Linked DNA regions of Oreochromis niloticus. The protein of the gene in region 3 purifies or fractionates together with the protein of the main gene of each other region. This does not show direct contact. Links are inferred from orthologs where the notes say so. Each region holds a gene or a part of one and is shown on either strand. Other genes may lie near its edges. The genes, in order: cnnm1, cnnm3 and ptp4a1.

The links.
Region 1: the proteins of ptp4a1 (region 3) and cnnm1 purify together in Homo sapiens (affinity purification with mass spectrometry; 4 studies listed by BioGRID and IntAct, with this or other methods). This does not show direct contact. The link is inferred for Oreochromis niloticus from reciprocal best matches to the Homo sapiens genes PTP4A1 and CNNM1.
Region 2: the proteins of ptp4a1 (region 3) and cnnm3 purify together in Homo sapiens (affinity purification with mass spectrometry; 6 studies listed by BioGRID and IntAct, with this or other methods). This does not show direct contact. The link is inferred for Oreochromis niloticus from reciprocal best matches to the Homo sapiens genes PTP4A1 and CNNM3.

What each region holds. Positions count from the first base shown.
Region 1 is NC_031978.2:18,197,706-18,204,759, forward strand, and holds the start of cnnm1 (metal transporter CNNM1), read right to left. Parts: upstream 3,081-7,054; 5' UTR 2,515-3,080; coding exon 1,068-2,514; intron 1-1,067. Other genes in the region: hpse2 (inactive heparanase-2), read left to right, coding at 6,605-6,990. UniProt on the Homo sapiens protein: Probable metal transporter.
Region 2 is NC_031972.2:10,683,032-10,690,704, reverse strand, and holds the start of cnnm3 (metal transporter CNNM3), read left to right. Parts: upstream 1-4,627; 5' UTR 4,628-5,077; coding exon 5,078-5,773; intron 5,774-5,863; coding exon 5,864-6,198; intron 6,199-7,361; coding exon 7,362-7,538; intron 7,539-7,673. UniProt on the Homo sapiens protein: Probable metal transporter.
Region 3 is NC_031971.2:5,687,424-5,695,154, forward strand, and holds the start of ptp4a1 (protein tyrosine phosphatase type IVA 1), read right to left. Parts: upstream 3,028-7,731; 5' UTR 2,886-3,027; intron 1,142-2,885; 5' UTR 551-1,141; coding exon 446-550; intron 1-445. UniProt on the Homo sapiens protein: Protein tyrosine phosphatase which stimulates progression from G1 into S phase during mitosis. May play a role in the development and maintenance of differentiating epithelial tissues.

The DNA.
Region 1 (7,054 bases), on a different chromosome or scaffold from region 3:
TGCACAAATAATGTAAAGGTGAAACCAGGCTTCACACCCAAGAGAGACACACAAGCGATGCCGACACACATATAGGTCAAGTGTGAGCTCATGGATCACTTGTGCCAGACCAAAGCTATATTTCATAATCCCAGGCACGGTGAAGTGTAGTGGACCTCCTGAACTGTAAGTGGCAACATAATTCATTACCCTGCCAAGGCCAGCTGCATTCAGCTGACATGTATTGCCCTTTCTTTGTCTATAAAACAGATTTCCATCCTTGCATAACAGCTGTGGCAGTGGCTTCTCGTGTGTCTTTATTTTACAGTGTGACACTGTCAGTCGAGCAGTCAGAGGTTTTCGCTACTGAGCACTAAATCGGAATCATATTTAATGTTACCAAGGCTGAACATAGTCCCTAAATAGAGGCAATGCACTTTTCCTCTCTAGTAAACAGATGCTATCACTGCATGTGCGGCAATACTGTCAATTCACTTATCAGCAAAGATGGCTATCAGAGGAGAGAGAAAGACGAATTCTGGTGTAGGCAAATCGTGCAAAATTCCTTTTTTGATACAGTTTAGCATTTCAAGCATTTTAAGTGAGGAGCCGATAACTGATACTTGCATAGAAATGGGGTACCGAGCATGGGGCCAGATGAAGTTCACAGTGTTGTCATGGGAAAACGACTTAAATCTCTCTCATCACATAAATTCTTAAGATAACCCTATTATGGTAGCCTCTAAACTCTAGCTGAACCAAACACACTGTGTGACACAGTATCAGATTTCACATATGTCTCTCACTGCTCTGGGGATCAAAGGGCTTTACTGGCAGGCCCACTTTGAGCCAATGGGCTGATGTATACATTGACTTCTGGACTGAAAATGTAGTTCTTAAGTGCACAGTCACTTCAAAGAACATTTAACTCCTAACTGGTGGGAGGTTGCTTTAAAACATATGGTGCCTCACATGCTCAGCTGACTTCTTACTCATAAGTTGTGTATAGGTCCTAGACAGGACACACAGGGAGATATGGAGACTGCAGAGACCAAACCTCTGATATGATTTAAAGTGAAGCGAGTTACCTCTCTTAAATTCCTCCAGCATCACGTCCAGCTTGGTGTCACTGAAGACGCAGTGCATTGGATGCTTGTAAAACTGAGTAATTGTTTTCAAAGGAGTGCAATCGTCAGGATCCACGAAGGCTAAATCTTTGACAAAAAGGATGTCTACAATGTTGGACCTTTCGTTCTCATAAACAGGGATGCGTGTGAAACCGCTCTGCATCACATCTGACATGGTGCAGAAGTCCAGCACAGCATCTGAGGACAGCATGTAACAATCTGACAGCGGTGTCAGCACATCCTCTACGGTCTTGGTCCTAAGCTCCAGGGCTCCCTGAATAATGTTGAGCTCCTCTTTGACCAGGTCGTGGTAGGGGTCTGTGACACGCAGCATGGCCACCAGTTTCTCCCTGGTGTAAAAGTTGCTGATTTCTTGGTGCAGCATAATGTCCAGAATCTTGGAGACCGGGTAGGCGATGGGGAAAAATATCAGCATCAACAGGCGGGTCGCGCACAGGGTCTTGGATGCGATGGCGAGACTGTGCCTGGATGCCACTGAGTGAGGTAAAATCTCGCCAATAAAAAATATCCCCAGAGTGCATGAGGCAGTGGAGAGAGCGGTCATTCCTAAAATCTGGCACATCCACACCACAAAACACGTGTTTGTAAGCACGTTACCCAGCACCACAGTGCAAAGGATGTAATTGCCATGTTTACGCACTGACTCTATTTTTCGCGCGTATTTCTGTTCTTTCTCTGTGCCGCTGTTCTGCAGGACCCGCAACTCGACCGGGTCCAGAGACAGCATGCTAATATTCAGCCCGCTGCACAGAGCAGACAGCCCCAGCAAGAGCACAGAGACTCCTGCTTGCAGCCAAGCATCTGCCTCTGGAGGTCTCTCCACCACAGCCAACCAGAAGTCTTTGGTGCTCAAGTGCTCCCATTTCACTCCATCGAACGCGCACATGGAGTAGTATTTGATCACCTCGTCTCTGCGCAGGTCTTTGGCGAGCAGCTCCACTAAGACTGAGTTATGACTTGAGGTGGATCTGAAGGAACCCAGCAGCTCGATGTCTGAGCTCCGGGCATTCTCCTCTTCGCATGGATTCCCCCTGGACAGGAGCGGACTTTCTGCATCTCCACTGTCCCCACCTGGTTCCTCTATAAACGCGATCCACGGAGCGGCAGGTGCTGCGTCCGGTCTGCCGCTGATGTTCAGGAAGTTGGGATTTTCGGTAGCTGGAGAAGCGGAGTAGTAAACCCTCAGCATGAAGCGGGTCCCCTCGGTAGCCCTCAATATCCCATCCTGCACGGACAGTTCTCCGCTCTGGGTGTCTTCAGGCCGGACACCGAGCAGCGCCGCTGTCTTGGCCGGCAGAGAGGAGATGGTGACGGTAAGAAAGAGGAGGGAGAGCCGGCGCGGATGCAGGATGCTGCAGAGAGCATCCGCAGCATCCGCAGCCATCATGCTGAATGAGCCGCTGAAGGACACGGGAGAACTGGGTCACGTGGTTTGCGGATGGGATGGATGGAGCAGCTGGGTAACATGCCACGGAGAGAGAGAGCAGAGAGGAATTCAAGTGTGTGTGCGTATGTGTGTATGTGTTTGTGGGCTGGCACCTTAAATATAAATGACAAACCCTGACGTAAGCCTCGCTTTTTTGCTTTCTGCCGCTTTCTATAAATAGAAAGCAGGAAATGCCCAATCATTTATGATTCATGCGACAGAGCACCTACAGCTACGCCAGAGGAAGATATTTACTTGCTAAATAGTAAGGAGATACAAGCTGAATACAAAAAAGATTGGGATGTGTATCAAGAAAGCAAATCAATAGAAAGAAATGCTATGTTGTGTTGTGTGCCAGTTTGTGCGTTAGTGCAGAGCTCAGACTCTTATTTCATTATTATTTTTAGTTATTTTTTTATTTATTTTAAACTCCCCGCTAGATGGCAGCATCGCCACCTGTTTTCGGTGTAGTACAGTTTGAAAAACTGTACTTGTTGGCTTTTAAGCATAAACACATAAATGTAATGTGTTTCTAAAATCTCTGTTATAATAGTTTGTGTTTTAGTATCCGCATCCCTTAACAAATTAAAACAAAATGTCGCTGTCTCTAAATCTACTTTAAAACAACACTCACACATTTTATATATATGTAAATATATATATATATATATGTATATATAAATATTATAGATATCACTTTTACCTTCTATATACTTTGGAAATATTATATGACAAGGAACAACGTTTTACTGACTTCCATGACGTTTAATGTTGACATGAAGAGGATTGTTCTTGTTTGTTCGTTGGGATTTTTTTTGTAAAAACAAAGTAAGTTGTAAATAAAACAATTACAATCAAGTCCCACAGATCATTATTATTATTACTATAGTTATAATTATTATTATCACCATTATTATTTTTTATTGTTGTTGTTGTTATTATTATATACCGTTCAGTGATCAGCTGTTTCAGATCTAACGCATCTCAGTTCGGTGACCGGTTTGTGGGATTTACGATGCAGAAAACTGAAGGCGCAAAGGGCAAACAGTCATTGCCACGCTTTACTCAGACGACAAAAAACAGCAAAACAGGTTGTAAAACTGTCACTCCAACTGTCATCCTAAAGTCATCGACAGACGATTTTCCTGATAAAATTACACATTAAATAGTTTGCCAAACAAAACCAAAAAATATATGCGTATAAAAAAATTTCGCATCGTTAAAGATTCTGCTGATGTATAAATATGTCGACTATATGTTTTACATTAGATATTTTTCATGATCGATCAAAATAAACGCATTGCAGGCGGTAAAATAAATCTTAAAGAAAGCCAACCATTGAGTCCGCCCAACAAAAGTCACCGAAAATGCTCTGACGATTCAGTGTATTTGTCTAAACCTAATTCTGCTTAGGAAGTTTTTAAACTTCTGTATGCTCTATCCTTTTATTCAGCCACCCTGCTGGATGAATGATATAACTCATGCTGCTTTTCTGCTGCGATCAGTGTTGCCGAGTAATTTTTCCCCTCACAGAGCAATAATTTCCCACGATTGAAGCAACAGATCTTGATTTTTAAACAGCAGCAGTGTCTTTAACATTAAACACAAAACAGACAGAAAAATACTCAGTTTAATTAAAGCTGCGAATCATTTCCTGAACAAACTATTGTAAAGTTTACATTCAAAAGAAGCAACGAGAACATTATCGCACATCATGACTAAACTCTCCCTTCAAATTATTAAATCCGAAATTTCAGTAGGTTAGATTTGATCGAAGAACTAGTCTATTGTAGTAGTAGCAGATTATTTTTCCTCACCGAATATGTTTAACTGATTTAATATTTTCCTAGAATGTTTTTCTTCTTCCACTGACAGCTTAAAGTTAACAACATAACTTTATATATAACTTGTGCATTTTTCACTTCTTTTTATACCGGCCCGTGGAGGAGCTGAGAGTGTAAAAAGTCACCGCTCTGTTTTATATGATTTAAATTAGAGTTTCAAATCCAAAAACAACAAACCAAACCGTTTTCAAATTTCAGCAGTACAGTCGATCGGTAAGCCGTAAAGGAGTTAAAGGTGGTCTAACATTCACTAAAACAACAGCAAAGAGGAAATATAATAGACAAAAAATTCCCTGCGTACTAATCCACATTATCCATGCCATTTCCTCTTGGAATATTATATGATAGTGCTGTTTCGATAGGCTAAAGTTTCCTTTTTCCTTCTTTTAGAAAAAAATATCCTCAAGGGTGACATAGATGTCCCAAAACGCATTTGAGATCTAATTATATGAAAATGTTAAATATTTTTCCACTGAAAACTAAAACTGTGGTTGAATTGAAAGCACATGTTAATTATGATGTTATCGGCGCCAACTGACAATATGAAGAAATGCGGAAAATCAGACTTTGTGCTTTTCTGCTGCTCATGTTGACCGTGGGTCTGCTTCTTCTAACAGGCCGGAGAATACAGGCTACCACCCCACAGAGAACGTTACTTTAGAGTTTCTGACACTCGTAAGCGACACTAAGCTGTGCATTTAAACAAAGAAATATCAGCCCACTTTGTACCATATAAAATCAAAGGATGATCTTTTAATCTGCTTTGTGGGGACCGTTTGCGTCCCTAAACCTACAGAGCTGACTGCTTGGATGATTTTGTGTTGTGGCTTCGTGGATTCGTGAGTAGGTGTTGTATACCGGAAAGAAACGATAAAATTGAGCTTAACTTTGTGCATTTTTTTCTCTTAAGCACTTCGTTGCTCATCTGTGAGACAGCAGTGACCTTAAACGACCAACGTTCGCTACACTGATCGCCCCAGGAGAGCTTGGCGCACTGCGCCCTGGAAAAAATAAATAAAGGGGGGGGGGAAAGCGCAGTAGCCTGCACCTTGGTTGGTGTGTGCTTGCTCACAAGTGTCCCAAGAACATCTGGTCTAAAGCCATATAAAGAATTTATAGGTAAGTTCCATGTGCAGAGACTTACATCCCAAATTGGTTTTGAATGCTTCTGAAAAGAGGCCAAATATCCAGACTGGCATCTCCAAGTGCCATCTTTAAAATGTGCAATCAATAATCTGTTTGTCAAGAAAGCAGAGCCTTTGCAATGATCATGAGTTATGCTGCTGACAAGATCTGTTCTTGTTTTGAAGCTGAATTTTTGTTCTTTTGAACAACAGCCTCGAGATTCTTTTACGTTTAATATTTTCGACTTTTTGCTGGAACGTTTAGTTTAAGAAATACGACGTAAAACGGGCGAAAACGACCTTCAGTCAGTCTCTGCAGTAATAATTTCTTACTATGATGTACAACTGAGATTTTCAGTTTAGCCAGGCGATTAGAGGCCTGCGTACGGTCAGCCTGAGTTTAGGTGAGTTTAAGCACAACTTCTGGAAGATCTTTATACAGTCTCCCATTTCGCTATCAATATAGTTATTCTAAAATTATTTTTTTCATATGACAGTATTGCATACATTTAATCCAAGTTTTGCTTTTCTTGAGCTTTTTTTTTTTTTTAAAAGATTGATCATTATCTCTGCGAAAGGACCAGCCGCCATGGCTTATCATTTTTAAGGAAAAAAGCCTTTTATCCTCGCCCGAGGGACTTAATCGCTTCTAAATATGTACTCTTCTTACTTGTTGATATTTGAGTGTAGCTTAATTACTGGACTGAACTTGAGTTTTCTACAAAATCTGATTTTGATTTTACCATTATAGCAGCGTTTTAAGAAACAAAGATTCATGTCAGTTTCTTCAGAAAACAATAACCTCTGTATTCGGTGTTTAGGAAAAAAAACTGCAATCATAGTTCGTAAGACTAAATTCTTATACTTGTGAACTGGGAAAACTTTCGAGCAGTCTGTCCTCATACCTCGGAGAACCTTAGAGGGGCGGTGCTGTCTTCTCTCCTCCTCCCAGTTCTAGCTCTCACAACGGGAAAGGCTGGCTCGGGGCGTGCGCTCTTGCGTGCAGCTCCCAAAAATACTCGGAGGGGCGGGGGGGCAGAGGCGGGGGGTGAGACAGCTAGACAGGAAGACAGATCCAGATCGATGAGACCGAGGTATAGAACCGCCATCGAACTCCTCGGCAGCAGAGTTTGTTTAGTGCTTGATTTCTTCCCACCTTTAAGCTTCTTTGCGCACACTGATCCCCCTGCTCTCCAAACCAAGAAGATGCCCAAATCCTCTCCGCGCGTATTCCCATGGCCCTCCCTGTGGCTGGCATCGTTGCTTATTTTGATGGTGCAGTCGGTGCTCTCTTCCTCCTCTACGTATCAGAGACCTGCAGTCGCTGGGAAGCGCCAGGGCTTCTTGGAGAGGACGCTGGTTCTCCTGGATGTCAACACCCGCAGTTCAATCAGAGTCCTCAACGAAAACTTCCTCTCTCTGCAACTGGACCCCTCGATCATCAGAGACGGATGGCTGGACTTTCTGAGGTACAAAAGAACCCTTTCCTGCTTGTCGTCTACATCGATCTGTATGGGTGCCCTCCTCTAAAAT
Region 2 (7,673 bases), on a different chromosome or scaffold from region 3:
GCTAGAGTGTACATATATATATATATATATACATATATACATATATACATATATACATATATATACACTCTAGCCCATAGTTATTCATACCCCTGGCAAATTTTGGCTTAAAGTTACTTTTATTTAACCATTATGTTTTTTTTGTTTTGTTTTGTTTTTGTTTTTTTACTGGAAATGACATAGGTGTCTCCCAAAAGATAATATAATAAGACGATGTGCATTTCTCAGCTTTTGTTTACATTTGAGCAAAAAGTGTCATGTCTAGAATCATTCACACCCTTCACAAAGTCTCTGGTAAAACCCAAAGTTCCAAATGGACTATTCCAAATAGTCCAAGCTGTTCTAAAGCATACTAATTACCCTGATTAATTGGGAACGGCTGTTTTAATCTGCTCTACAGGTGAAAAACAGCGGCTCTCTGCAGTTGGGTTGTGGACAGTCATGGCTAAGATAAAGGAGCTCAGTGAAGACCTGTGGCTGCTCACAAGTCAGGAAAGGACTATGAGGCCATATCTAATTGTTTTCAAGTTCCAGTTGCTACAGTGAAAAGTATTATTAAAAAATACAACATGTTCTGCACTGTGGACTTGGTTGGAAGCCAAAAGTGACACCTGTGCTGACCAGGAGGAAAGTGAGAGGTGTGAAAAAGAATCCAAGGATCACCACCAAGGCCATACTGATGAATCTGGGCTCTGCTGGTGGCAATGTCTCAAGGCAGACAGTCCAGCAGACACTGCACACTGCTGGGTTCCACTAATGCAGACCAAGTAGGACGCCACTTCTCCAGATAAGGCATACAAAAGCTTGCTTGGTCTTTGCAAATCCTCATCTGGACAAAGAAGAAGACTTCTGGTCTTCTGTTTTATGGTCAGATGAAACAATTGAATTGTTTGGTCACAATGATGTTTCCTTCATTTGGTGTGAAAAAGGAGAAGCATTCAACCCAAAGAACACCATCACAACTGTTAAACATGGTGGTGGGAACCTAATGCTTTGGGGGTGTTTTTCGGGCAATGGACCAGGGAACATAATCACAGTAATGGCAACTGAAAGATTTGAAGCTCAGATGAATGGGCAAAAAGCTGGTCTGCAATTATAGGAAGTGTTTGATTGCTGTAATAGCCAATAAAGGCTTCTATACTGATTATTTAGAAGGGTATGAATAATTCTGGACATGACACCTTTTGCTAAAATGTAAACAAAAGCTGAGAAATATATATATTTTTTCCACAATGATGCCTCTTGTACATAGTCTTATCTTTTGGGAGACATCCGTGTCATTTCTGGTCAAAAAAACTTGCTGGTTCAATAAAAGTATCTTTAAGTCAAAATTTGCCATGGGTATAAATAATTATGGGCTTGAGTGTATATGTGTGTGTGTGTGTGTCCTTATTGAACTACAGTTATAGTTTAATACATTTGGCCTTATTTCTCGAAATCAGACTTAGAACATCCAGAGTGGGTTTGATAAAGTTAGTTCTAATAAAATTCAGTTTTCCTCAAAGTCTTAAAATTGTCTAGAAAATTTACATTGTTTTCTGGACACCACCTGGTCAGCCAGCAGTTGAAGGGTGATAATTAGCTGTCGCTTAGCTAGTCAAAATGGAGAATGTATCAAAAAAAAAAACAAAACTCCAATGTGAGTCCAATTTCACTTTAGAAGTTACACACTGATCCAGTGCTAATTTTAGTGACCTCTGACTGATGTAATAGGGTTTCATTACTGCCAATGTGAATTGCATGTTTATTTATGCTTATCCTTAGGCGGCAGTTTGTAATTGGATTCATTGTTGCCTGTTTTGGCCCCTGGAATGGATTTTACAAGGGTTGCTGGAGTTTCTAGCTTCACATTTCTAAGTATACGGTTCCCAAAAACCAGAGTTTTTTCCTCAGCTGGTGTGTCAGTAAGGTGGAAAAATTTATCAAACAGATGAACAAGTTGGTGGTGTTCCACTTCTGTTGTGGACTACAACACCTCTGCACAGTCACCCTGCCAGTGGCTGTTCCAAGAAGACTTGTTGGGGGAAAACTAACAACGGTTAGCCATTTTAATTCAAGTTAATTATTTTATCACCGAGTGCACTCTCAGTGCTGCTGATTATTTCTGAGGTGAATGCTGTACATTGGAGCTCTAAAATTTCAGACAGGATACAATTAAGCATTAAAGCTTATTGTCTAATAAAGGAGACATGGAAATAGTTTGTCGTAGATCAAAGTGGAATTAATTTGATTGATTTAACAGGTATTCTTGGTGTGAATCCTGTATTCTAGTAGTTACAATCCCAGCAGCAGGAGATTAGAATCGAGCATAATGACATTTTCTAAATGATCAAATTAAAACCGTAGCGCTGCAGTGATTTCAGGTACGGCTTAACAAACCTGCACACATAAAATCTATCCCCTTAGCGCAGGGCTAGTCTGGCACAAATAAATTGGGCCTGGCATTTTTTGTCCAGGAGACCAATCATGATCATTCACAAAAATGCATCAAAAATAAATCTATATTGATTATGTACATAATTCATTGATATTGAGAGGCTTTCTTTATAATCAGGTTGGTCCAGTTGTTGTTGGTTAGCTCTTAGTTTCACTGCCCTGCAGCATATGACACTTAAAAGCTACACTTTAACTATTAGGTATGGCTCATGGTCAAAGCATCCACGCATTTTACCTGAATCCTTGATTATGTCCCTCTATCAATTTGGTTACCACGTTGATTACACCTTGTTCTGTCGCTCTGTGAGGCCTGGTTTCTAGTTGTTACTGGGTAATATAGTTCACGATGCAGCACATATTCTACATGTCGGTTAAACATTTTGCTGCATTTATTTTTAGTTTCTATTTCTCTTTCAGCTTTTTAGCTCCACCTTTTCGCTACTTCTTCCACACTTATCACAGTTTTACAAGATGGGTAAGGGCACAGCGAAGGTACGGGAGAGGCCGGTTGCGCTGAAAGATTTGATTGGGCAATCCAGTGTCGGTAATGAAAATGAACCAATGGGCTGCGTGTAGCACTGTTGACCCATATTACCGGTCCCACCCTGCCTCAGCTAACATTCTATAAAGCACTAGCACGTTGCAAATAAAAGAATCAGTAAAACATGGCACTTCCAGACATAACATAATGTAGTCCCAAAAGTTTTATTTTTATTCTTCCAGTTGCGGAGTTAATGCTGTTGAATTAAATATAAAAAGAGGATTAAATTTAAAAACAGAATTCAAACATAAGCTTAATCTATGTATGATTTTGAGTTCAGCAAGGATTCTGTCCTATGTTAGAATATATTAGCGTTTATAGAATAACAATACTGTTGAAAAACTGCTACCTACAGAAAAAAATCAAGCAGTAAAGCTGCATCTGAGGCTCTCTGTATAGTACCATCAAGGAAATACAAAGACTTTAGACACTACTGATCCTCTTGCTTTTCCGGGAGAACTCCAAGGAATCTTCCAGTGGTCGCACCACTTTCTGGAGACCTGATTGGTTAGTAACTGGTGATTTTATACCTGGTAATCTCTAATCTGGAACCTAACCTGGACCCTATGTCACAAATCTCGTTCAACACACTCAGGGTATCTTTATGTTATCTGGATTCACTTACCTTAACAATCGCGATCAGGATAAATGGTCACATGAAGCTCGTTATCAACTCGCTAAGGTAACCCAGGGCTTCACCTGAATGCTCACGTGACAGTGGTGGCGTTTATAGCATCTATCTATCTAAAAGGCAAATCCTTATGACACCTACAACCTACAACCACCACATCAAATGGTGGTTAAATATCTTTAAAGAGCACAGGAAATATTAACCCATATAAAACATGTTTACCACTCTCTTCTTTTGACAACAGTCTGTAAACGTCTGGGAGCTGAGGAGACCAGCTACTGGATTTTTGGAGTGGAATGAATCTAGCTACTTAACAGCTGGTTGTTCAGTTGTTGTATTTTTCATTTGATGACATACAGACAAAAACTATGTTCCACGCAGTGTTGCCAACTTAGCGACTTTGTCGCTATATTTAGCGAGTTTTCAGACCCCCTAGCGACTTTTTTTCTTTAAAAAGTCGCTAAAAAAGACGTGAAAGCGCGTATCGCTTTTACTCTGAACAAGCAGCGGGTGCTGTAACACAGTCAGTTCTTCTTTTACTCTTTTACTCTTATGCTGTTTTGTGGATCACAAGGTTTAAAACTACTTATAAACACACACACACACAAAGTAACTCCACCAGAGTGCCTATTTCGGGCCACTTTTGCCGGTCCAAGCCCGGGTAAAGGAGCAGGGTTGGAATTGTGACATTAAAAAAAACAATAATTGCTAAAAGAAATTTAATTTGTAGTTCTAAATAAACTCTAAATGCATTTAGGACGTTTTTTACTCACTTTATGTCTCTTCCACGATGTTATTTCTCTCTCCAACAACATAGGTTACAATTACATTAGCATGACCAATTATGCAAATTAGGTGATGACGTCATTTAGCGACTTCTAGCGACTTTTAGGACAACCAATAGGGATTTTCCTTACTGAGGAGTTGGCAACACTGGTTCCACGTCTAGTTACATTTGTTTTTGTGCTTCGTGTTAGTCTGCGTCTTTGTGAACTGTCTCATGTTTCCTGTTTTACTTTGGTAGTTCTTGTCCTATGTTCATGTTTTCCGTTTTGCTTCCCCTTGGTCTCATCATGGTCGTCCGCCCGCCTAAAAAAAAAGGTCCAAACAGCCTACAAGTGATATTTTCTCCCAGTACTGACAGCTGTATTAGTTTAACAGAAGAGGCCCAAAGTGATGCAGTTTTAAATTGTGACAGAAGATGGGAGCGAGCGTCTGTCGCTGTTTTAAATTCACTACAGGCTGCACTCGGCTCTTCTTGAAAGGCATGTGACGCAATAAAAACAAGATGTACGACACATCCACACTCGCGGATCAGGCCTGTACGCGCGTGTCTGGAACCGTAATGGCCGCCGCGCAGCTCAGTTGCGCTGTTTGTTTTGCTTCGTTGGCTCAACCCCCCGGGGGGTGGGGCCGCTGCGGGGCTAAAGTCACGTGATCCAGGCAAAGCCAAGCTGACCAATTCCAATATGGTGGCCAGCCTGGCAGGTCTACGGTTCCTGTTGATGATAGTGTTGTTCTGCGGAATCAGGTACGGCGCCTGCAGCCAGAAAGCTCCGCAGGTTTTGGGGCTGCGACTGGAAGAACCAGTGGATCCGCTGTGCATGAAGGGTCGTATCATTTCAGTACCAAAAGGAGCCACGTTTAAGCTCCGTCTCTTCGGGTGTAATCTGAATGGAAGCTTGCCGTCGGTCGAGTTCGCAGGGGCAGCTGGCGGAGCGGCTGGAGCTGTCGGTGATACACTGGACCCTTGCGAGCAGCAGTCCAACCGCCAGGACTCCAAGTTAAAGGTGACCAATTTAGAACTCGACGATGCGCACAGCGTGCTTCTAACTGTGGAGGTTCGCACCTCTGAGGGGGAAGCTGGCAACGAGCAGACATACTACCACCTGTGTGTGTGGAGTGGAGAGAAATGGACATCTACGGGTCTGGACAGACTGCGAATAAACACCGACACGGATCTGCCTGCAGACTACATCCCGCCGTGGGGTCTGGCCGTACTGATAGTGCTTGTGCTTATGATCTGCGGATTGCTGAGGACGGTGAACCTGAGCCTTTTGTGGCTGGACCCAGTCGAGCTTTATGTCCTACACAGCTGTGGATCCGAGGAGGAGAAACGAGCCGCCAAACGGCTGGAGCCGATCAGGAGAAGGGGGAACTTCATGGTAAGTTTCTAAAAGCACGTGGGGAAGCCACAGGGAAAGAAAGGTGCAAATGAAGTAGTGTTTCCTAAACGCATGTCTTTTCCACCGCAGGCATGTTCTTTGTTGTTCCTGTGTGCTCTGGGGCACTCTGTCCTCGGTGTGCTCCTGTACCGGGCACTGGGCTCCATCGCCTCTGCGGTGTTCAACAGCGGCTTCCTTATCTTCTTCCTAGCTGAGCTGGCTCCTCACATCTTGTGCTCCGGTTACGGCTTCCAGCTAGCGCCTGGTCTGACCTGGCTGGCCCAGGTTTGCATGGTGCTTACCTGCCCCCTGTCTTGCCCTCTGGGCTTGATTCTGGATCTAGGGCTGAGGAGAGACATCAGCACCTGTGGGATAAGGGAGAGGGCCATGGAGATGATACGGGCAAACGTGAATGATCCTTACAGGTAAATATAGTGGACTTGGGAGAGTATCACAGAGATCTGACATAGAGGTGCGATGAGTATTGACACTTGGTCAAAAAAAAAAAAAAAAACTGTTATCAAGCAATCTATTTGTTTGTTTTTTGTTTTTTTTAAGAAAGAAAAACACAAATGATGCTTCTGAACCTACAGAGTAAACAGAACTAGAAAAAAAGACACTATAGGACATAACCAACAAAAAGTGTGTTCTGTCATACTCTACAGTGCATAATTCTTATGGTACATTATGTTAGATTCACTGACATACAGGAACAATTTAGTGTTCCAGACACAGACTCTTTTTGCTAAGTTTGAGTTTAATATTTGATTAAAATGTTTGACACATTAAGATGCTTTGATTCATGATTAATGCCAGTTTACTTTAACAGAAGCATTTTGTGTGATTTTGGCCACTGCATTCTTGTACTGTTCGCATAACCAATGATTAACAGGAACATCATTCGTAAAAACTTGAAATGTAACTTGAACCCGAAAGACTTGACTTTTTAGGGGTTGTCTTTGGTTAGATCTCTAAACACTTGATATTCAAATTGGATTAGTCCAAAAAACTTGAGATTATTCTGAGGGTGGACTTCTTTTTAAAGACTTCACAATTGTTATATTCTTCTTAACACTTGCCCATGAAAGACCTGAAACTTGAATCACACGTGACCTAAAAGTCTTGAGAGTATTTTGAAATTTAGACTTGTTTTTTTTAACAGACTTCACATTTGACCCCATAGTAGCCTTGTAATGATTTGAAACCTGACCTGGCCTAACACTGTAAAAATTTGATGCTTGAACCAGATTAAGTCTCAAGACTCTTGAAGACTTGAGACTTCAGTTTGACTTGCCTTTAAAAGAACGTTACATTTTACCTGGACTATCCAAAGTGAGGGTTGATGTGTGTATTGGCCTAACTGTATTAACACCTTAGACAGATTAAGTCTTGGGACTGGACTCAGACTCATTTTCAAAAGATTTAAGACTCGACTTGAACTTGGTTCAATAGACTTTTTTTAGGACTAGTCTGCATTAAATTTGTAGGATTTGAGACCTGACTTGAAGTTGGTTCTTAAAGATTAGCCTAGAAGATTTGATAATTGACTTGATTGTTGACTTAGTTGTTTTCTTCATTATGTTTGTAGTGAGTTTGTAAAGGAGGAGTTCAGTCGTGGGACATTGCGCATTAAGACTGTGGAGGACATCCTGACACCTCTGAAAGACTGCTTCATGCTGCCTAGCTCGGCTGTCCTAGACTTCTCCACTATGTCTGAGATAATGCAGAGTGGTTACACCCGTGTGCCCATTTATGAGGAAGAGAGGTGGGATCAGCAACACGACACTCACTTAACAGCTTAAAAAAACACGGCATAAAAACTTGACATGGCAGCATTTACCTCATCTGAACAGAGTATCTGTAGAATTGGCAGCTTTGAATTAGGCTTCTTGGTATAACG
Region 3 (7,731 bases):
AGATAGCTTCGCCCATGGCTATTTTACTGACATCCCACTGCCTCTGGTTGGCATATGCTACTAATCTGTTCTTGTGTGTATTTCCCTTTCAAAGGAAGGAGGTACTGTCTGGTAGCTCTTTTGTAATGTGCAATTTCTTCAAGTTTGTGAAAAAAGCCAATTATTAAAGGAATCAATTGATTTTAGTGACCAATTTTGTCCAATTGCCCAACCTTCTAAAGCACACAGAGTAATACACCTACATACGTCAATTCCTGTAATCTAAAACGATTTTGAAGTCATTGCTTTCATTGGCTGAAACATTTCCAGGAAAGATTTAAACTGTGGTGGTTTCCAAAACATTTCTCAACATGTAATCACCAGTTACGTGCTTCTCCAATGTGGGCTTCAAGTAATATACACTCTGTAATATTATATGTAAACAATTGACCACAATTTGGCTCACCTCTACGAACTTGTTCAGGGTGGCGTTGGTGGGATTGTGGGTAATGAGGAACCGCATGTTTTTGTAGGTAATCTCCACAGGGGCTGGTCTGTTCATTCGAGCCATTGCGACAATGCGAAAAAATGTATAACAAAACTAAAATGTCTTCCACAGAGTAAACACTAATGTAAACAGTTAAACTCGGAGGGAATGTCAAACAAATGTCCAACAAGTTTTGAGGAACTCGGAAAGAAAAAAATCCTCCAGTCTTCTTCGAGGTTGGCAAGGCTAAGTGTCAAAATAAAATAAAAACAAAACACCCCAAAAAAGAACAGTAACAGGCAAATTTGGGAAGTTGGCAGCCGAGAAGGGCGGACAATTGGAAAAGTAACTCAAACCCTCTCCTTTGGAATAAAACAAAAGAAAAGGAAGAAAAAAAAACCAAGGCTGGTTCCACCTTGATTCTGGCCAGGCGGAAGCCGACGAGGGCAGTGTGCAGCAGGTGGAGTTACCCCATCCAGGCCGAGTTATCGCTGGTTCTGGGAGGAGTCCCGGTCCTGCCAACTTTCCGGGGTCCCTCCTGTGGCTCAAGTGCGTTGGATCGATGGCGAGTTTGGCTGTTCACTCGTCTGCATAGGCAGCGTGCTGAGCCTGGCAGTAGTCCCCACTGCCCTTCAGAAACTCCATAAATGTGTGACCCAGAACACCACAGAACTGCTGCAAGACACAGAGGGGGCAGGAGGGAAGAAAAGCTTATTTTTTATTTTTTAAAAACATCTTTAAAGAACACAAAAAGCACAGGCAACTGTTCTCAGTGTAGTTCAATTAATTTGCAAAAAAGACAAACTTTTACTGAGAAACAGTTTTTACTCACATTCTATTTGGAAACTGTCCCTCATTCTTTTCCTAAGGCACAATAATCATGAAATGGAAAATCTGATATTGTGACAACTCTAATCCCCAACACATATCCATAAGCCCCTAGTCAAACATACCACTCCATCAGAGTAAAAGACAAGGGGATTATATCATAGAGGAAGCACAGGGACAAAGTATAGACCTGGATTCAAAGCAGCCGTGAAACAAGTGAGAGATTTCCAGTAAAGTCATGATCCATTCATTTTTAAAAGAATAAAACAAATTTCCTCATTTGAATTTTAGAATTACCTTCAGACAACAGTACAGAGTCTGGCTAGAAACACAGATTTAGGGTGTAATGACAGTAATCGAATCCCACAGCTACTCTTTTTTTTTTTTTTAAATTATACCAAGTTTCACACTCAAGTATGTCATCAGCCACATTAACATTAGTGTCTTTAATCTCCAAACAGAGTGTCTGGGGTTTGATTCCCATGCAGAGAAAGTGGTGTTTCAGATAACACAATGATTAACACAGCAGAGCAGACTGTACCTGCCAGTATGTTACATAAAATCACACTGCAGTGCTGCCCGCTGTACAACAGAAATAAAATATATAACGTGTCATTTCTGACATCCAGGTCGTATCTGTGCTCGAAGGCTGAGCTCACCGTGGGGCCTTCAGCGGGGCTTTAACATACACGCTGTTATGATCGTCAGAAATCTGACTCACAAATGCTTTCTCTGCCATTTCCTCCCTAATGCTTATGCCCTTTACTCCTCACAGAAGCTCGATACCTGAGCGCTGACTTACTGGAAAGGTTTTCTTCATCTTATTGTAGAAATAGTAAAATCTAAGCCGGTCAAGCATGCTTTGTTAATCTGCTATTTTCCGGCGGAAAAGCAGCATTTACTTAGAAATATTACCAAGCACTTAAAAGCCACTGCCTAACTAAAAAGACAGTGATTTGTAAAGATAAGAGAGGCGTGAAGCAAAGCAGAAGTGGCTTAAATAGCAGGCATGTCTCTGCACTGCATTACAAGGCTGTAAAGTGTCCTTTGTGTGAGGATAGACCGGGCGCCATCATATAACATTAGAGGCCTATAGGCGCCGTCGGGAGCTGTGACGGACTGCACGTTGCTCTGAGGTGACAAAAAAGACTCCCGACTCAGACACTGGGCAGGTAGCCAGTCTCGCAAACCACTAATAACACGTCATTTACGTGTTTCATTTATTTCAAATAAATATGCATCGATTTTAGACGGCAAAAACTTCGAGTGAAGAGCCGGGACCAGCCCGAGCTGCGCATCCGTCAGCCGCTTCCTAATCGTGACGATTATCATGCAGCTCTAAGATTGCACTCAAATAACAGGACCAAATCCATGTTCTGTGAATTTTCGTTATAGTTAAATGAAAGAGGCAACGTTAAGCAATGGCATTGTGGAAATGTTAAACTGGGTTTTTATCGAGCAGGCCGTGATTTCATCGAAGCAACGTGAAGGCCAGCTGGTAACAGTTCACCGTAACGTACTGATTTACAAGAGGAGCCTAGGAGACGAAACCGAGAAACAAAATGGCAGCCACGAAAAACAGGTTACTTACTGGGATATGCTTACTCATTGAAGATTGTAGCTTAATCATACAGCCGGTCCCTAGAAAAAGGTAAAACTATGAAACGGTTTTCCACCATAAAATCCTGTGCTGTTTCTCCGAGCGGAGCCGAAGTCTCCTGATCTGCCGGGAAAGAGCTAGAGAGAGAGAGAGCGCGCGAGAGCCCGAGATACTAACGTAATTTCCTGTCAGGACTTTCAATATAAAACACTGTTCAGTATTAAATATACACCACATTTTCGGTTTTTACTAAAGGTTTCTGGTAGCTGAATTAAATGTATACTTTTGTAGCAATATACACTATGTGAGCATACAAACAAAAATATTCAAAATCTTAAATAATGAAATGTTTAAAACGTCCCAATGTGTAAATGTCTTGATGGATGCTCATGCATCATGCTCCCATTCACTCGTTTACAGAGCTTTATTTTGAAGCTAAACCGAACTTCCTTAACTCTTTGTATTTCTTTCCTTTTGCCTTTAGCTTGACTGGTCTCGTGAAACCCCACCCTGAAAATGTGTAGTGTTATGTCCAGACATCTCCCTGTCTCCAGGCTGCAAAGGTCAGTTGGTGACTGTGGACTAAGTCGTCCTTTACTTCCAGAAAATACACAAGGACAGAGGATGCCCGAAATCACGACACCATATAATTATACATGTGTGGTTCTTTTGACTTAATGTGAACAGACCTTTGTGTAGATAAATTTCATAACTTGAAATGGAAAGGAAAATTCCAAAATTAATTTCTGAGTTTTAAAGCTTGGGATGGGATAACACCATGGTGCAGTGGTTAGCACTTTTGGCTCACAATAAGAAGGTCCTGGGTTCAAATCAACCGTCATATTTACAGGGTGGTAGAACTACATGTACTAATGGAAAGGTTGTTGGTTTGATCTCTGGCTCCTCCAGTCTGCTACTATTCCAGATACTAGGCAAGATATTGAACCCTGAGTAGCTCACGATGTGTTCATCGTAGTTTGACTCTTTATAAATCTTAGATAGAAAAGGGGCAGCAAGGTGGAACCGTGGATAGCACTGTTTCTTCACAGCAAAAAGGTCTTGGATTTCAATCCAACATCTGGCCAGGGCCTTTTTGTATGGAGTTTGCATGTTCTACCCGTGTCTGTGTAGGTTCTCATTGGGTACTCTTTTTTTTTCCTCCCACAATCTCGGGACATGCAGTCAGAGGGGTTAGGTTAACTGTGGATTCTAAATTGTCCGTAGAAATGAATATGAGTGTGGATGGATGTCTGCCTCTTGCCTTATGGCAGCTGTATTAAATGTTCTGTTAAGTTAAATCCATGTGATAGTCTACAGCAGGGGTGGGCAATCTCAGTCCACGAGGGCCGGTGTCCCTGCAGGTTTTAGATGTGTCCTCGAACCAACACAGCTGATTTAAATGGCTAAATTAGCTCCTCAACATGTCTTGAATTTCTCCAGAGGCCTGGTAACGAACTAATCATGTGATTCAGGTGTGTTGACCTAAGGTGAGATCTAAAACCTGCAGGGACACCGGCCCTCGTGGACTGAGATTGCCCACCCCTGGTCTACAGGAACATCTAGGACAAGCATGGGTTAAAAGTTCCCAAATCCAATGGAATACTCAGCAAGAATTCGTAAAAAAACCCCCCCCACAATAGCTGAGATCCTGTGGGAGTGCAACGTGCAAAGAAACAGCCGCTGCTGAAAACATAACCAATACGTTATAATGGCCAACACGGAGAAGGTATTCGACTACATCCCTCAAAGTGCCCTGGTGGGAAGTCCTTCTTGAGCATGGGATACTTGGTCTATTCACACTCCATACAACTATAGTGATTGCTTTGCATTGCCACCAATAGCTGAGACTCAACTTGTGGTCATTGGACTCAACCAGGGGTGCCCTTTCTCGCTGATATGGTTCATCATAGATACGTTGGATATGTTTAGACCTCAAGAAGCCTGTTAGGTGAGAGGTAAAAGTCTTCAAAAAACTTAAAAGTAGTCCAGTCACCTTCTTTTTAAGATTTAAGATTTTTATGAGTAGAATTTCTAGTCATCCAGTGGTAGTTTTAAGAACTTGAAAAGAAGGCAACTAGACTTCTTTAAGTTTGTGAAGATGTTTCACCACTCATCCAAGAGATACCTCTAAAGAGGAGTCTTGGGTGACGGGTTAAAAGTCTTCACTAACTTAAAAGAAATCGAGTTGCCTTCTTTTTCACTTTCATGGGTTACATTTTTTCCACATATCACAGTACTTTGGATTTCACTGAAAAGTCAACTAGGAAACAGTTTTTGGATTTCAATATAATAATATTATTGCTTTAAAAATTTGAAAACGGTGTAAAAATATGAAGCACATTTTTTATAAAATTATCAAGGAAAAATAAATCGAGAATTAAATGTATTGTAGATTCACCACTGTCCTACCTTGTCATATGATCAAATCTGCTTTGTATTCACTGGATGGTGTCTTTGAATGTCCACCGGTAAAGTTTAATCTGTCTGCATAGACGTAAATCACATGATTTTCTTCTCTTTTTGCTTTACTCTTGATTTGCATCTGTACAAAAGCTTTGATCAAAGTAGTTATTTCTTAATCTTTTATAAATTCCCTGTTTAAGAACAAGAGCCAGATCATTAACCAGCGCATTAAACTTAATGCTGAGAGGATGTGAAGCTGATCTGTAGAGCCACTGAGTCATACTATTTGATGAGTAATTCTTAAGTCATCAGGATCTAATTCTGAGTCATCAGAATCGAGTAAGAGGAGCACCAGAACAACTGAATAACTACAACAGGTACAATAATCCCCACTAAACATATACTGAACAAACCTTCTTTTAAGGTGGTTTATGAAATTGGTTAAAAAGTAATTTATTATTGATTTACCCTCATAGTATATAGCTTATTTTGGGTAACTTTAGTTTTGACTTATTTTTCAGCAAGTAAATTAAAAGACTGATTAACTATTACATGATATGGATTCCCGTTAATTACTTGAATAAACTGGAAGCTGACAGCAGTTAGTTAGTATATAGCAAGTTCTCAGAACATAAAAACATAATGTACATGAAGGATCAAAATGTTAGTAATAAGCAAATAATAACATTTACATGGGAAAGAAAATGCATATTTTCTCTTTATGTTTTCTCTTTAATTAGTACCAAATTACATATTTTTGTCCTTTGAAATTGTTGGGAAGTTTCTTGTAAAAAAACTGAACCTTTCTAGCCTTTAAGTCATTGAATAGGGTCATTCATGACTCCAGCAGTATATTTATATGTGCTGTTGTATCATTTTAATTGTAAAAATATTTTCCATCATACATTTTTCAATCTACTTATACAACCTTTCAGACTTTTAAAAGAAATTGGCTTATTAGTATGGTAAGAATAATGGAAGGTTCTAACCCTGGAAATATGTGTGTCTGTTTGTGTTTAACATTATAGGCTTTGATTTGATTGCAAAGTTCCACTTCTAATCATTATACTACATTGTGATGTGTCACAGTGAACCCTGGCTAACATTGTTTTAAACAGGTAACAAAAAATAGAAAAACAGTTTAAAAAATCCTGATCATGATGACTTCATCATAGCCCAGCATTGATTAAGGTATCATCAAGTCACCCGTTCATCAATATTTTGTGGTAAAATACATATTGCACTCAAACATACCTTAAGTTTTAAAATGAATTGTCATAAAGATTATTGAAAAAAGTAACAGACATGAATTATCTAAATTAATGTAGATTTTTTAAATCAAATTTGTGTTTTTTAACTATTAGCATAATTAATGGTAGCAATAGCCTCTGACAGTGAACACATCTCTATGCTTGTCCTACCACTAGACCTCAGTGCAGCATTCGATACTGTTGACCACAATATCCTATTACAGTGATCAGAGCATGCTGTAGGTATTACAAGTACTGCTCTACAGTGGTTTGTATCATATCTATCTAATTTGTTGATATAAATGGAGAGTCCTCTTCACACAAAAAGGTTAATTATGGGTAGTCCACAGGGTTCAATGCTAGGACCAATTCTGTTTACATTAAAATTGCTTCCCTTAGGCAGTATCATCAGAAGACATAGCATACATTTTCACTGCTATGCAAATGACACCCAACTTTATTTAACCATGAAGCCAGACAACACACACCAATGAATTAAACTGCAGGAATGTCTTAAAGACATAAAGACCTGGATGGCCGCTAACTTTCTGCTTCTTAATTCAGATAAAACTGAGGTTATTGTACTCGGCCCTGAAAATCTTAGAAATATGGTATCTAACCAGATTCTTACTCTGGATGGCATTACCTTGGCCTCCAGTAACACTGTGAGGAACCTTGGAGTCATTTTTGACCAGGACATGTCCTTCAATGCACATATTAAACAAATATGTAAGACTGCCTTCTTTTATTTGCGCAACATCTCTAAAATTAGAAATATCCTGTCTCAGAGTGACGCTGAAAAACTAGTTCATGCATTTATTACTTCCAGGCTGGACTACTGTAATTCTTTATTATCAGGATGTCCTAAAAACTCGCTGAAAAGCCTTCAGCTGATCCAAAATGCTGCAGCAAGAGTCCTGACAGGGACTAGAAAGAGAGAGCAGATTTCTCCTGTTTTGGCTTCCTGTTAAATCCAGAATTGAATTCAAAATCCTGCTCCTCACATACAAGGTCTTAAATAATCAGGCCCCATCTTATCTTAATGACCTTGTAGTACCATATCACCCTATTAGAGCACTTCGCTCTCACACTGCAGGCTTACTTGTTGTTCCTAGAGTATTTAAAAGTAGAATGGGAGGGAGAGCCTTCAGTTTTCAGGCCCCTCTTCTGTGGAACCAGCCTCC